Linked DNA regions of Cricetulus griseus. The protein of the gene in region 1 interacts with the protein of each later gene in a pairwise test. Links are inferred from orthologs where the notes say so. Each region holds a gene or a part of one and is shown on either strand. Other genes may lie near its edges.

Evidence for each region. The genes of interacting proteins can lie anywhere in the genome.
Region 2: the proteins of Sirpa (region 1) and Nol3 interact in a two-hybrid assay, tested with the Homo sapiens proteins (2 studies listed by BioGRID and IntAct). The two-hybrid records come from large-scale screens. The link is inferred for Cricetulus griseus from reciprocal best matches to the Homo sapiens genes SIRPA and NOL3.

The regions. Positions count from the first base shown.
Region 1 is NC_048599.1:48,990,171-48,995,731, forward strand, and holds part of Sirpa (tyrosine-protein phosphatase non-receptor type substrate 1), read right to left. Parts: intron 1,599-5,561; coding exon 1,248-1,598; intron 1-1,247. UniProt on the Homo sapiens protein: Immunoglobulin-like cell surface receptor for CD47. Acts as docking protein and induces translocation of PTPN6, PTPN11 and other binding partners from the cytosol to the plasma membrane.
Region 2 is NC_048596.1:181,562,968-181,569,111, reverse strand, and holds Nol3 (nucleolar protein 3), read right to left. Parts: upstream 4,063-6,144; 5' UTR 3,868-4,062; intron 1,295-3,867; 5' UTR 1,265-1,294; coding exon 1,257-1,264; intron 1,167-1,256; coding exon 865-1,166; intron 720-864; coding exon 328-719; 3' UTR 253-327; coding exon of another isoform or gene 245-252; 3' UTR 118-244; downstream 1-117. Other genes in the region: Hsf4 (heat shock factor protein 4), read right to left, coding at 4,801-4,955, 5,327-5,396, 5,522-5,587, 5,681-5,786.

The DNA of each region.
Region 1 (5,561 bases):
GATATGTGGGTTTTTTTTTTAAGTTTCATAGATGAGTCATGCAAGCAGACAGATGGAAAGCCACCAACTCATCACAACCCCACCAACACTTGAGGCCTGGGAAAGGCAAGTGGCCCACCCAAGGTCACATGGATACAGCTCAACACATTTCCCACTGATGGGATATTTTCTACAAGCCAGACACTGTTCTATGTGTTTGATATGATGTCACTGCTTCAGTCCTGACCACACACTCGGTGAGAGTGTCATGGACAGATGAGGCCACCAATGTGATGTGTGGAGAGGCTTGTCCAGGACAAAGGCAAGGGAGTGGCTTATCTGGAATATGGCTCCAGACAGTTAGACTCTGTCCCCTGTCCTCATGGCCACTGTACTTCTGATACTCAGTAATGACCCTGGCACCCCATCTAGGGCTCTCTGTCATACTTACAAAGTCAGGACAAGCTACCTGCCCTGCTTCTGTGCAGGGGTGGATGGCGAGGAGAGTTGGCTGCTACCTGGAGGGAAAACTGGTACCATCCACATAAATTAAAAGGAACACATTATGTGATATAGTAGGCTTCTTGCAATGGGTATCTCTGCCCTAGACATGTGGGCTGAGCCATCCAGGGCAGCACTGTTTTCAAACTCCACAGCTGGGAAGAACGGAACTGTCTACCAACAGAAGACTACAATAAGTTGTGGAATATCTAGGTGCTGGAGTAAAATGCAGCCATTTACACAATGGCCCTTAGTGTCCTGATATGGAGTAAGGACCTGGACGACATTTGGCAGAGGTTTTCCTGTCACTAACAGACCTCAGGTTTTAAAGGGAAGGGGCATCCGAATCTCTGTGAAAGTGATGCATTTCCTCAAGGCTCAGCATCTCCTCAAGGCTCAGCATTTCCTCAGCACCTCCGTGTTCTTGGCTCATCTATGGAGATGCTTAGTGCCTGGGCAGCAAGGAGCCTGGCTGGGATCTGCATTCTGGTCTACACTCTGGCACTCACTGGTAGCGTGACCCATGTGCAAGGAAAAGAGAGGGCCGTGGGGCAGGTGGATGAGGGTGCAGATGTCCTCTTACTTGCTGGCACTGGAGCCTGGAGCAAACAACTGGCTTTGGCTACCCTAATCTGCCGGAGGTTGAGGTCAGATGATGACCACGCTCTCCACTGCACCTGCTATGAGCCACACTCACGGGATAGGGGATGCTCTCCTCTGACATGATGCTACACACCAGGGGATGAAGAAGGCACAGGCTTACTCACCAAGCACATTGAGCACTGTTCCCCCTCCAGACCGAAGTTCCTTGTCAGCTTCTGCTTTAAGGAACTTCACACAGTAGTAGGTGCCGGCATCTGCTGGGGTGACGTTGCTGATTTGGATGGAAAAGTCCAAGTTGTTTCTCTTGGTAGTATCTGTTACATTTGTAATTCGAGGAAACTTTTCTCCTGTGAAACTGTAGATTAGATGTCGGCTTTGCCCTGTTCCTCTGAACCACTTAATGGGTCCCACAGGCAACAGCAAGGTCACAGTGCAGTTCAGCGTGGCCTGATCCCCAGCAGCAACAGACACTGACTTCTCAGGCTGAATCACCTTCAGGTCCTTGGTTGTGGCTCCTGAAAAGACAGATGGCAGCTATGACTCACCTTAAGGGATCCTGCAAGTCCATCAGTGATTTTCACTGATTGAGCACACACAACGGTGTTGAGTTCAGCACACTGCATGCGTTATCATGTTTAATCCCCATGAGGGCCTGTAACTCAAGACAAGAAAACTAAGACAGAGTGCTAAGTCACACAGCTTAGTGTAGCAGAGTGTCCAAGCCCTTTGGGGAAGTGTCACGTCTGAGCTGGGCTCTGGAATTCAAATCTAAAATTTTCGGTTAGAATGGGAGCCTGGATTCCCCACTGAGGGAACAAACTTGGTAGAGATGAAGAAGTAGGAGACCCTGGTGTGTGTGGTGCTTTTCAAAGAGGTAGATTCTGTGCTTGAAAGCAAGTCCTGGCAGAGCAGTTGCTCTCAGCAGTCTGGTGGTAGGAGAGCTGAGAACTCGGGCCCTAGGTGGGGCTCAGTAGCATGTGGCTGCATCACTGGGGGCCCTCAGTAGGTCGACAGAGAAGGCCTAGGTGCTCACCCACTGTCAAGAGCTGCAGGGGTGTGAGTGTGGCTTCAGCTTGGGCTATTTATGGTCCCTAGCCTTCATTTCTTCGTCTGTAAAATGTTTACCATGAGCCCATCTTAATGAACTTCTGACAGAAACAAACAAGTTCAGGCCAATGAGCATGTTAAAAGGCAGCATTTGGGGCTGAGGGGTATCTCAGTGGATAAAACCCTTGCCATCCAAGCACAGTGGCCCCACTACTTTCCTGAGTGATGGCTTGCTGGATGTGTGGATGTGGAACATGAGCATTTGAACACACAGACATTAGAGACAGGGTGACCCAAGACAGGATGAGGAGGATGACAACAGCAGGAACAGTGAGTCAGGTGATCTTGGTCTCAGCTGGACTGTCCACTGGCTTCTAATGTGACCTGTCTATTTGACAGGGCTGTAGCAGAATCTTTTACCAGGCCCTCTTATGCTGAACCAGTAAAAGAGACATTGTATGTTAGCCCATGGCCTGATATTGTTGCACTGGCAAGGCAAGAGCGCCTAAGGCAAGAGAGCTCCATGGATTGATCGGCTCTGCTCTCACTGCAGGTACCCAGGGCCTTGGCATAGGCCTGTCATCTGTTGCTCACTGTCTTGTCTCGTCCTCTTCCCCAGCCAGGGATCCCCTTGAGGGCCACTTTTCATGCCAGGTGTGAGCAGAGTCTGCAGAACCAGCCTGGGCACAGCCTGATTCTCACACTCCAGGGGAAGAAATGAGAACTAGAGAAGTCAGGGGCTCAGGCAGCATTGGCCAGCCTAGAAGGTAGGCCAATGACAGGCAAGTGACTCACACAAGGAGGGAACAGGCTTGAAGAGACAGGAAGCCTCCCAAGGGCATCGATGACATCACCAGCTACGGCCAATAGCAGGGAGCCATGAACATTCCAGTGTGTCTACAGTGAACCACGGGAGACCGGTTGAACTGGAACCACCACTTGCATGAAGCACAGGCCTGGGCGAGAACAGGCCCTCTTTGGCAGCTGGGTACTCATGAGTGGACTCCCATTCAATCAGACATAAGCAGGGAAATGGTATCTGCCCTCTGCTTTGTCATGAAGATTGTTCCAGAGCTATGCATAAGCTCTTGCTGTATACTTGCTGGCTTAATTCAAGTTCTTAACCCTCTCATCTCATTGCTGTATTCTTTATGTATCTGATTTGCTGTGGACTGTTATTTTCTCCACCATTAGGATGGTAGATCTACTAGGAAGTACTGTCTAGCCTCCTGCCTGGTATATACTGTGTCCTCAATAGAAACAGGCTGGAGAGGCACGTGGATCTCTGTGATTTTCAGCCCAGCCAGGGAGACTGGGTACCCAAAACACGTCTATGCTGAAACAACACACTGATGAGCTGAGAAAGTACGGGTTTTATTTGCTCTGTGACCCTGGCACAACCCCGGGCCTCTTCCATCATCAGTTGAGCAGAGCTAACCCTGGTGACCCGGAGCTGGTGCTCTGTTATCATTATCCCCATCCTCAACTGAACACAGAGCTGTGAGTCAGCGGCTGACGAAGGAGCTACGCTCAGGAGGAACTTGGGAATTGGGAGCTGACAAGTTGGAGCAGGGCTATTCTTGTGGTGCAGCCAGAGGCTTGTAATCACACCCCGGGCAGGTGACAATAAAATCTGGGCTGGGGAGGGCTGGCTCCTCCCCTTTGCCCCCCTCCTTTTTTAGCTCCTCTGGAGATCTCACCCAACTGCAAGCAGATTTAGGCAGCTTAATTAATTAGCCAGTGTTTCTAAAGCGTTTGAAGAATTTTAAAAGTGTGATGTAAGTGCCAAACATTATTTTAATCTCTGTGTGTATTTTCCAACAGGGTTTTCTTTTCTTTCTTTATTTATTTTTTGCTTGCTTATTTGCTTTTCTTTTGCTCTGCAGGTTCTGTTCTGGGAACTGTGCTTGTTAAAATTCACTCCCGTGGGCCAGGCCTGGGGTCATCATGCTGACATTGCCAAAGAAACCATTTCCTGCTCTCTTTGGCCTCCTGGCAGAGAGCACAACCATTCCAGAGCCTGAACCTGACAGTGTCCCTGTAGGTGTCACACAGCGATGGTGGTGGTGGGGAGCAGTCCAGCCGAGTGGACCAGCAACAGCATGACAACTGCTCACTGTGTGCTAGGCACTTCCTTGAGGACCCAATCACAGATACAGGTGGGTCTCCCCATAAAGACCTTGAAAATGTGGGGAAACAGCCCAAAGGGCAAATGGCAGGGATGAGGAAGTGGATAACAACTTGTCCCACAGGTGAGTTATAGGCAGTCACAGCAAACTGTGATAACATTTTCTATGGCACTGTTGAAAATAACACGGTGGCTATGCAAAAACAAACAACAGTGGGAAAAAACACAAACTTTTGCAAAGCATTTAAAAGAAACAAAAAGCCTAAAAACTAAATAATAATATTGGGGCTACAGAGACTTCTCCGAGGTTAATTAAGTAGGTACTGATCTCCCAGAGGACCTGGATTTGGTTCCCAGCGCCCACAGGAGGCTCACAACCACCTGTAACTCCGGGGGGGGGGGGGGGTATCCGATGCCTCCTTCTGGGACCTGCATTTACATCCACATACCCTCCCCTCATGTATATAGAGTTTAAAATGAAATAAATCTTTTGAAAAGCCTCATATAATGCTATCAAAGATCACTGCTGTCGACACTTTGATGAACTGTAGTTAAAATAAGTGAATAGAAGCACCGTAAAATCCCACCTTCCAAAAGCTAAGGGCAAGTGCAAACACTCTGCATTCGCTTAGGCATCCTCAGAGCAATGGGAACTTGAGGAAAGCATATCCAAGGAAAGGAGACCGCTGATCCCACTGTGGATTCATCTGATGGCTAAATCCACAGCCCCAAAAGGTTGCACAGAATCACAACAAATTATGCTGACCATCGGGGCTATCGAGTGACATTTGATGTGATCCCAAACCTTGAGTTTCAAGGGAAAAAAGGCAGTGGGGGGAGGCGCTTTCCTATCACTTTACAGTAAGTACAATGTTGAATATATTAGTCTTCCTTTTTGTAGCTAATGTTTAACACTTCAGGGAAAGGTACAAATAACGAGGAGAACATGAGTGTGTTTCTAGGGAGGAGTAACTACCCTGTGTGCTTGTTGCTGTGGAAGGCAGTGATGAATCATGGGATCCCCATGGACTGAGGGCTATTGTACATGGCTGTCTCTGGCACACTAGTCATGAAGTCAGATTCTGATCATGTAAGTGATTACATTCAGAAGAACAGCTAGGACAAACAGCTCTCGATGGCTACTCTGATCACACCTTCTACCCCACCCCCAGAGATCACTGCCCCATCACCTGAAATCCCGTTTTTTCCTTCTACTGGCCAAGATGTCAAATGCTTAACCAGTATGCTAAATGCTGCCAACCTATGCAGTAAGGTGGGACTGAGAACTGACTAATGGGTTTAG
Region 2 (6,144 bases), on another chromosome or scaffold:
TGGAGGTGGAATGCAGTTGCTAGGGTGGGGGTATTTCACACACGCCTGCTCAGGTCAGTGGGATCCAAACCCATGCCCACCCTCAGTTTCTGAGCAAAGAACCAGAGTTGTGGAGAGTCAGGTCCAGGCTAACAAGTTTATTCATTTTACAGGACAGGGAGTCTCAGTGCATTGAGTCAAGCTCTGGCAGGTTCCTGGGTCTTACCGGCTTGGGTAGGGCTTGTGCAGGTCAGGATGCTGGCTTTCAGGAATCTAAAGACAAGATGATGGTCAGTAGATCAGGTATCAGCCCTCATTACACGCTCTAACAAGCTTGGAAGCAAGGGTTTATGCAGTCTCACAACCTTCGGACTCATCCTCCTCTTCTTGGAAGTCTGGCTCTGGCTCTGGCTCCGGCTCTAGTTCCGGCTCTGGCTCTGGCTCCGGCTCTAGTTCCGGCTCTGGCTCCAGCTCCGGTTCTAGTTCAGGCTCTGGTTCTGCCTCTGGTTCTGGTTCCGGTTCCATTTGTTGTTCCAGTTCTGGTTTATCCCCTTCAGAGGCTTCAGCTTCTAGTTCTGGCTCCTCTGGGGTCCCAGATTGCACTGCCTCAGAGCCCTCAGGACCTCCGACCTCCTCTTGCTCTGAAGCTCTGGGCAGACCAGGACATGTGGTCCCTGAACTAGGTACCTCAGGCGTCCAGTGGCCTGGACATGGAGGGTCATAGCTGCGGTCCCGGTAGCCTGGGGGAGAAAGTGGAATACTTGAGGCTCAGTTCACCCCTCTGGTTTGTTGCCTCCGCATTCTCTGCCCTCCACTTACCCTTAGTTTTGCCTCACCCCAAGTCACACCCCCATCTCAACAAGGCTCCACCCTCCTGGTGCTCACCAGGCCCCACGTGGTGCCAATCCCAGGAAGGGTCTGGCACACGCACGGTATGCTGGGCACAGCGCAGTAGCTCCTGGCAGGCTGCCTCGCCCTTGCTTTGCACCAACAACAGCAGACGGCGCACCCTGCGCTCTGCATCAGGCAGTGCATCCAAGGCTTCATACTCAGGCCCAGTGAGCACACCCCGGGCCACCAGCGCATCCAGCAGCAGCCCAGAGTCAGCCTGTAATGTATCTACCAGCCGTTTCCGTTCCCGGTCAATGGTCTCCGATGGCCGCTCCTGTACGTTGCCCATGTTTGGGCTATATCAAGGAGAAGGAGAGAAATGGGGGGTGGTGTGGGGGGCTGGCGTTCCCACACGCTGACCTCTCCCAGGAGGGATCTAAGTTCACCTGGACATCAGAGTCTGGATGTTTCTTCAGCGGAAGACCTGGAAGCCAGGGGCACAGAACTCACCCTCCAGCCTGTTGGTTGCCTTTGTTCTGACTCCTTAGATTCCTCTTCTGGTCTCTACCCGTTAGCTGAATGCTCTCACTAGTTAGGACTTCCCTCCTAAGCCCTGGCCACCTGTCCAGCTGGCCACCAGTTGAGACTCAATTTATCCAACTGAATTATTTTTTCTAAACTCAATTCCTTACCTAAACTGGCAGAAAACCCTAGGATTAATTCCTATCTCCTTCCTGAACCCTGCAGCAAACCTTGGATCAGGGCAGCCCAGCTGATCTCTCATACAATCTGAGATGCATCCAAAGCCAAAAGTGCTGAGGCATGCATGCACCATTCACCTAACCCCGGGGTCCATGCATTCCAGAACCTTGCCCTTTCACTCACCACCAGACTGCACTTCAGCATGGTCTGTGACTTGTCCTGGTTCCTTACTATCTAAGCAGGAGAACGGAGTACTCCTGAATTTTAACAGACCTCCTGTCATCAGGGACTCATCTGTTTCCCTGATGGCCTGGCAGTGACACACAGCCATCTCTTACTTGACCTTGAAACATCCAAGGCCCAGCTCTTAAAAGCCATTAAGGAATGCTTACCAAACTTTTAGTTTCCTCTGTGGATTATCCATTTTAAGAGGCTGCCTCTACCAAACTAGGAAATGGGTGCAAATTAATCTACTCTGCTCATCTATTATCATCTAAGGACTACTTCCCGCTTGGGTTGTGTGGCCAGTCAGCATTAAGGAAAAAAGAAATCTGGCCTTAGCTTTGTCCATATAGCATCCTTCTAGGTCTCTTCTGTCCTGAATGTCCCTATCCTACCTTCTTCTTTCCTAGGCCATTGGATCCCATACCCCAACACACACACACACACACACACACACACACACACACACACACACAGCATGCCTCCCAGGTTTCAGGACTCTCACACTATACTGTTCCTGGTCCAGTCACTTTATACCTTGGGTCCCCCTCCACCCCTCATATCTAAGTGACAGCTCTTCCCCAAGGCCACTAAGCACAGACCAGGGACATTTCCTCCCACTCTATCCTGTTGCTGGAGTTTCTTGTCCCCCACCCCAGGTTCCACTGCCACTTGAGCCCCAAATAAACTCATGAACGCTATATTAATTATCAAACTATTGGCCGATGGCTAGGGCTTCTTATTGGCTAATTCTGTCCTAATTATTAACCCATTTCTATTCATCTAAGTATTGCCATGTGGTCTTATCTTACTGGAGAAGAGTTCGGACCATGGACCTGTTACTCCTTCTGGGGCTACATGGCATTTCTCTTTGCCTATGTTTCCCAGAATTCTCGTCTCTTAGTCCCCCCTATCTTCTGGCCTCTAGTGGCCAAACTGTTTTATTCATCAACCAATAAGAACATATATACAGAAGGACATCCCCCATCACTATCCCCCTTCTCTGTCATATGCCCTATAGTCACTCTGCATCAGCTCCTGCCCCTTAAGCCCCCCATCAGCAGTTTGTCTCCCAGAACAATGAGGGCCTCTGAGTACCTCACTCACGGCTACTCCTCCCCTCCCTCACTCCAACATAGTGACTTTGACAACTCTGGGCTAGCATTTATTGTTCCAGTTTTATGGGTGAAGAGACAGGCTCAGAAAAACCCAGTACAACTGCGATCTGACTCACCCTAGCTTAAACTATAATGTCTCTTGCCTAGTTGAATGCCAGGCCTATCCTCCTCATTACCCATCAAATAATCTAAGCTACCTGGTCTGGCTATTTTAATTCCCTCCCTATCACCCTTGCCAGCCAGTTCTTTGCCATTTACATCCACCATTCAGTCCTGCAAGAACATTTATGGTCCTGGCACCTTAGCCTTTGCTGGTGCTGTTCCCTAGGTCTGGGAGTCTCTTCTCTTCCCCTCTATTCTATGGATCTAGCCCTCAAGACTGAAATGCTCCCATGTCTACCCCAATTCTTAAGAGTTTAAAGGTAGCTATGGTTGTACTTACAGGGAAGGGGGTGAGGCCTTCACCTATTCTGGCCAGACTTTGAGGCTGGATCTTCTCTTTTCCCATCTCTGTACCTTAAGTTATTTTTATGTTAGCTGTCTCCCCGGTAACTTAAGTATTACCTTTTGTCTTGTCTGAGAAGCAGAGACCCTAGCTGTTTTAGACCTTAACTCATTGATTTTTTTCCAAGACAGGGTTTCGCTATTGTAGCCCTGGCTGTCCTGGAACTCAGACATCCGCCTGCTTCTGCCTCCTGCGTGCTGGGTTTAAAGGCTGCTGCCACCACCACCCGCCTAGCCCCTAGCTGATTTGGGGCCTCCCTTTGAGGTTATCACAGCTCTAGGGTAAACTCTGGTTATGCCCTGGCCAGTACATCAAAGGACAAGACTAAATGTTACTTTGAGCCCCAGGTGACCTGGCCTGGTCTGGGACCCCCAGCTTGCTGACTGGCTGGGATTTGTTGGGGAACCAGGGTGGAACCTGCAAGAGGTGGTCGCGCATGCGCAACCGCAAGGGTACCCTCCAGCCCTCAACTCAATTCTAAAGCCCTGAAGAAGAGCGGGGCCCACAGACCTTCGAGCTCCGCTGCTGGGGGTGAGGCTCGGTACTCTGCCCAATCTGTTTCCTTTCTCTCCCTGCTGGGTGGAGTCCGGCTTGTGGTCCGGAGCGTTTCGGACAGCCCCACAACGGAGTTGAGCCTCACCGGGGCAGATGACGGTGCAGAAAGGGCAGAGCAAGCAGGGTGGGGACGCGAACGGCAGCTGCAAAGGGGGCGGGGCGGCCAGGGCTGCCGGGAATGGGGAGGGGGAGGGGTGTGCTTCTCTGCTTCGGCGAACTCGGACGCCAGAAGAGGCCACGCTCTGGCAGGGGGACGCATAGTCCGTTCTCTTCCCCGGCCCCAGAGCACCCGGATTTGAGTCAGGGGGTCAGCTCAGCTCACAGTACCACGGGTCCAGCCCATTCTGGGCCTTCTAATTGCTAGGTGCTTTTAATTTGCCCTCCTACGACCTCTCCCTCCGCCTGTCACAGATAAGTTTATAGAAGGGAACTGACTTGTCCAGAGTCTGAGACACGTATATAGAGGAGTTGGATGTGGCGCGGAAACGCCTGCTTCCTGGAGGTTACAGTGGCTGGCATCTCAGTGCAAGTGGGAGAGTTAGCCTCTCCCAAGTACCACCATTCTCCAGGTAGGGGTTTCCATGAAAGTCCGAGCGTCTGGACGTTTCTGGATCCAAACATCTGGACACTTGTATGAACGCAAAGTCGTCGCCCACCCATGACTCTAATGATCTTTGGTTGATAGAAAAAAAGAGAGACCAGAAACAGAGTGGGGGAATGCAGTTTATGTTGTAGAATTCACTGGGGTAGTGGAGAGAGGCTGCCGCATAATGGGGCTTCGCTTATCCATCCCCCCCCCCCCGCCCCGGGAGGGGACGCCGAGAAGCCTGAAGGGGTGTGCTGCTGCGTGCTGGGTCCTTTGTCAGGCTTTTAAGAGAGGTGGAAGCCTCAAGGGGAAGAGGGATTGGCTCCAGGGTCCAAGTAGGAGGCACTGCTTTCAGGGGCATTGTAAAGGGTTAAAGCCCCAGGCACTGGCAGGGCTGCACCCTCCAAATCTGCGGGAATGTCCAGCAGCAGTGGAGTTCCCAGCGTGTGGTCTTTTCCTAGGAGGAGTAGGCTGGGCTTAGGAGAGCCCTCCTTCAGTTAGGATGTAACATTATCCACACACATACACGCTTTAAAGGCCCGGTCTTACTGTCTTGCTGCATAGCCCAGACTGGCCTTGAGCTCATGGTCGTCCTGTCTCAGACTCTCAAGTCCTGGGATTATAAGCACGCTCTACCATATCTAGTTTAAAACGTCATTCTTGACACTACCACTCTCACACAATGATGGCAGTATGGGTGACTCTAGGCGACTCTACAAGGCAGCCTGAATTCAGGCTCATCCTTACCCCACCTAAGCTGCCCAGCCCACCCAATCATGGTAATTCAGATCATGGTGGCTTCTGCCCAGGGGTCCCCATCACCATTACCTACACCTGAAGAATTCAACTCCTTGACTGTCAGCTCAGCCTCAACCCTCTCTTGAGCCAAGGGCTGCATCTGCATGAGAGAACCCCAGGAAGCCGCTGAGAAGGGGGCCCAGAAGTTGAGGAAGAGAGCTGAGGAATCACCGGGGCAATCCTTCAGCCATGAACCAAACCAACCTTCAGCCACTCCTTTCTTACCAGAGACAGCTCCATGTCCAAATCCATCAGGGTCCATTCTCGTCCTTGCAGGCTAGGGCCCAGAACCTGGGAAGAGCTCTGGTAAGTGGTGCCTTTAAAGGCTGCACAGACTGCTCAACTTCATGTATTTCATGTCCTGCCCCAGGCAAAGATACTTACATCCATGGGTGCTATGGGTTCCACAGTTTCAGGGGGAGGTCGAAGCAGCATTGGGGGCAGCAGACTCTCTGGGCTCCGGTTACCCCTATCCAGGCCCAGAGTTCCCCTGTGCACAAAGAACTGCTATTGGTCTATAATACCCACCTCCTATTAGTTCCTAAGGAACTTGAATCATCAGATTTAAATTGTTCCAACAACTAGAATATGCTAAGAGACAATACTTTTCTTCAATCCTCTCCCTAGTAGGGGGGATTTTTTTTTCCTTTTTTTAAAAACTTTTGTGGGAGTGAGACGACTTGTTATGTAACCCTGGCTGGCCTCAAACTCACAGCAATCTCTTGTCTCAAACTCCTGGGTGCTAACCGGGTATCTGTGCTGTTGTTTGATCTTGTGTAGTTTAGGCCATCCACAAACTTTACTAGCTAAGTATGACCTTGAACTCTTGACCCTGCTGCCACCACCTC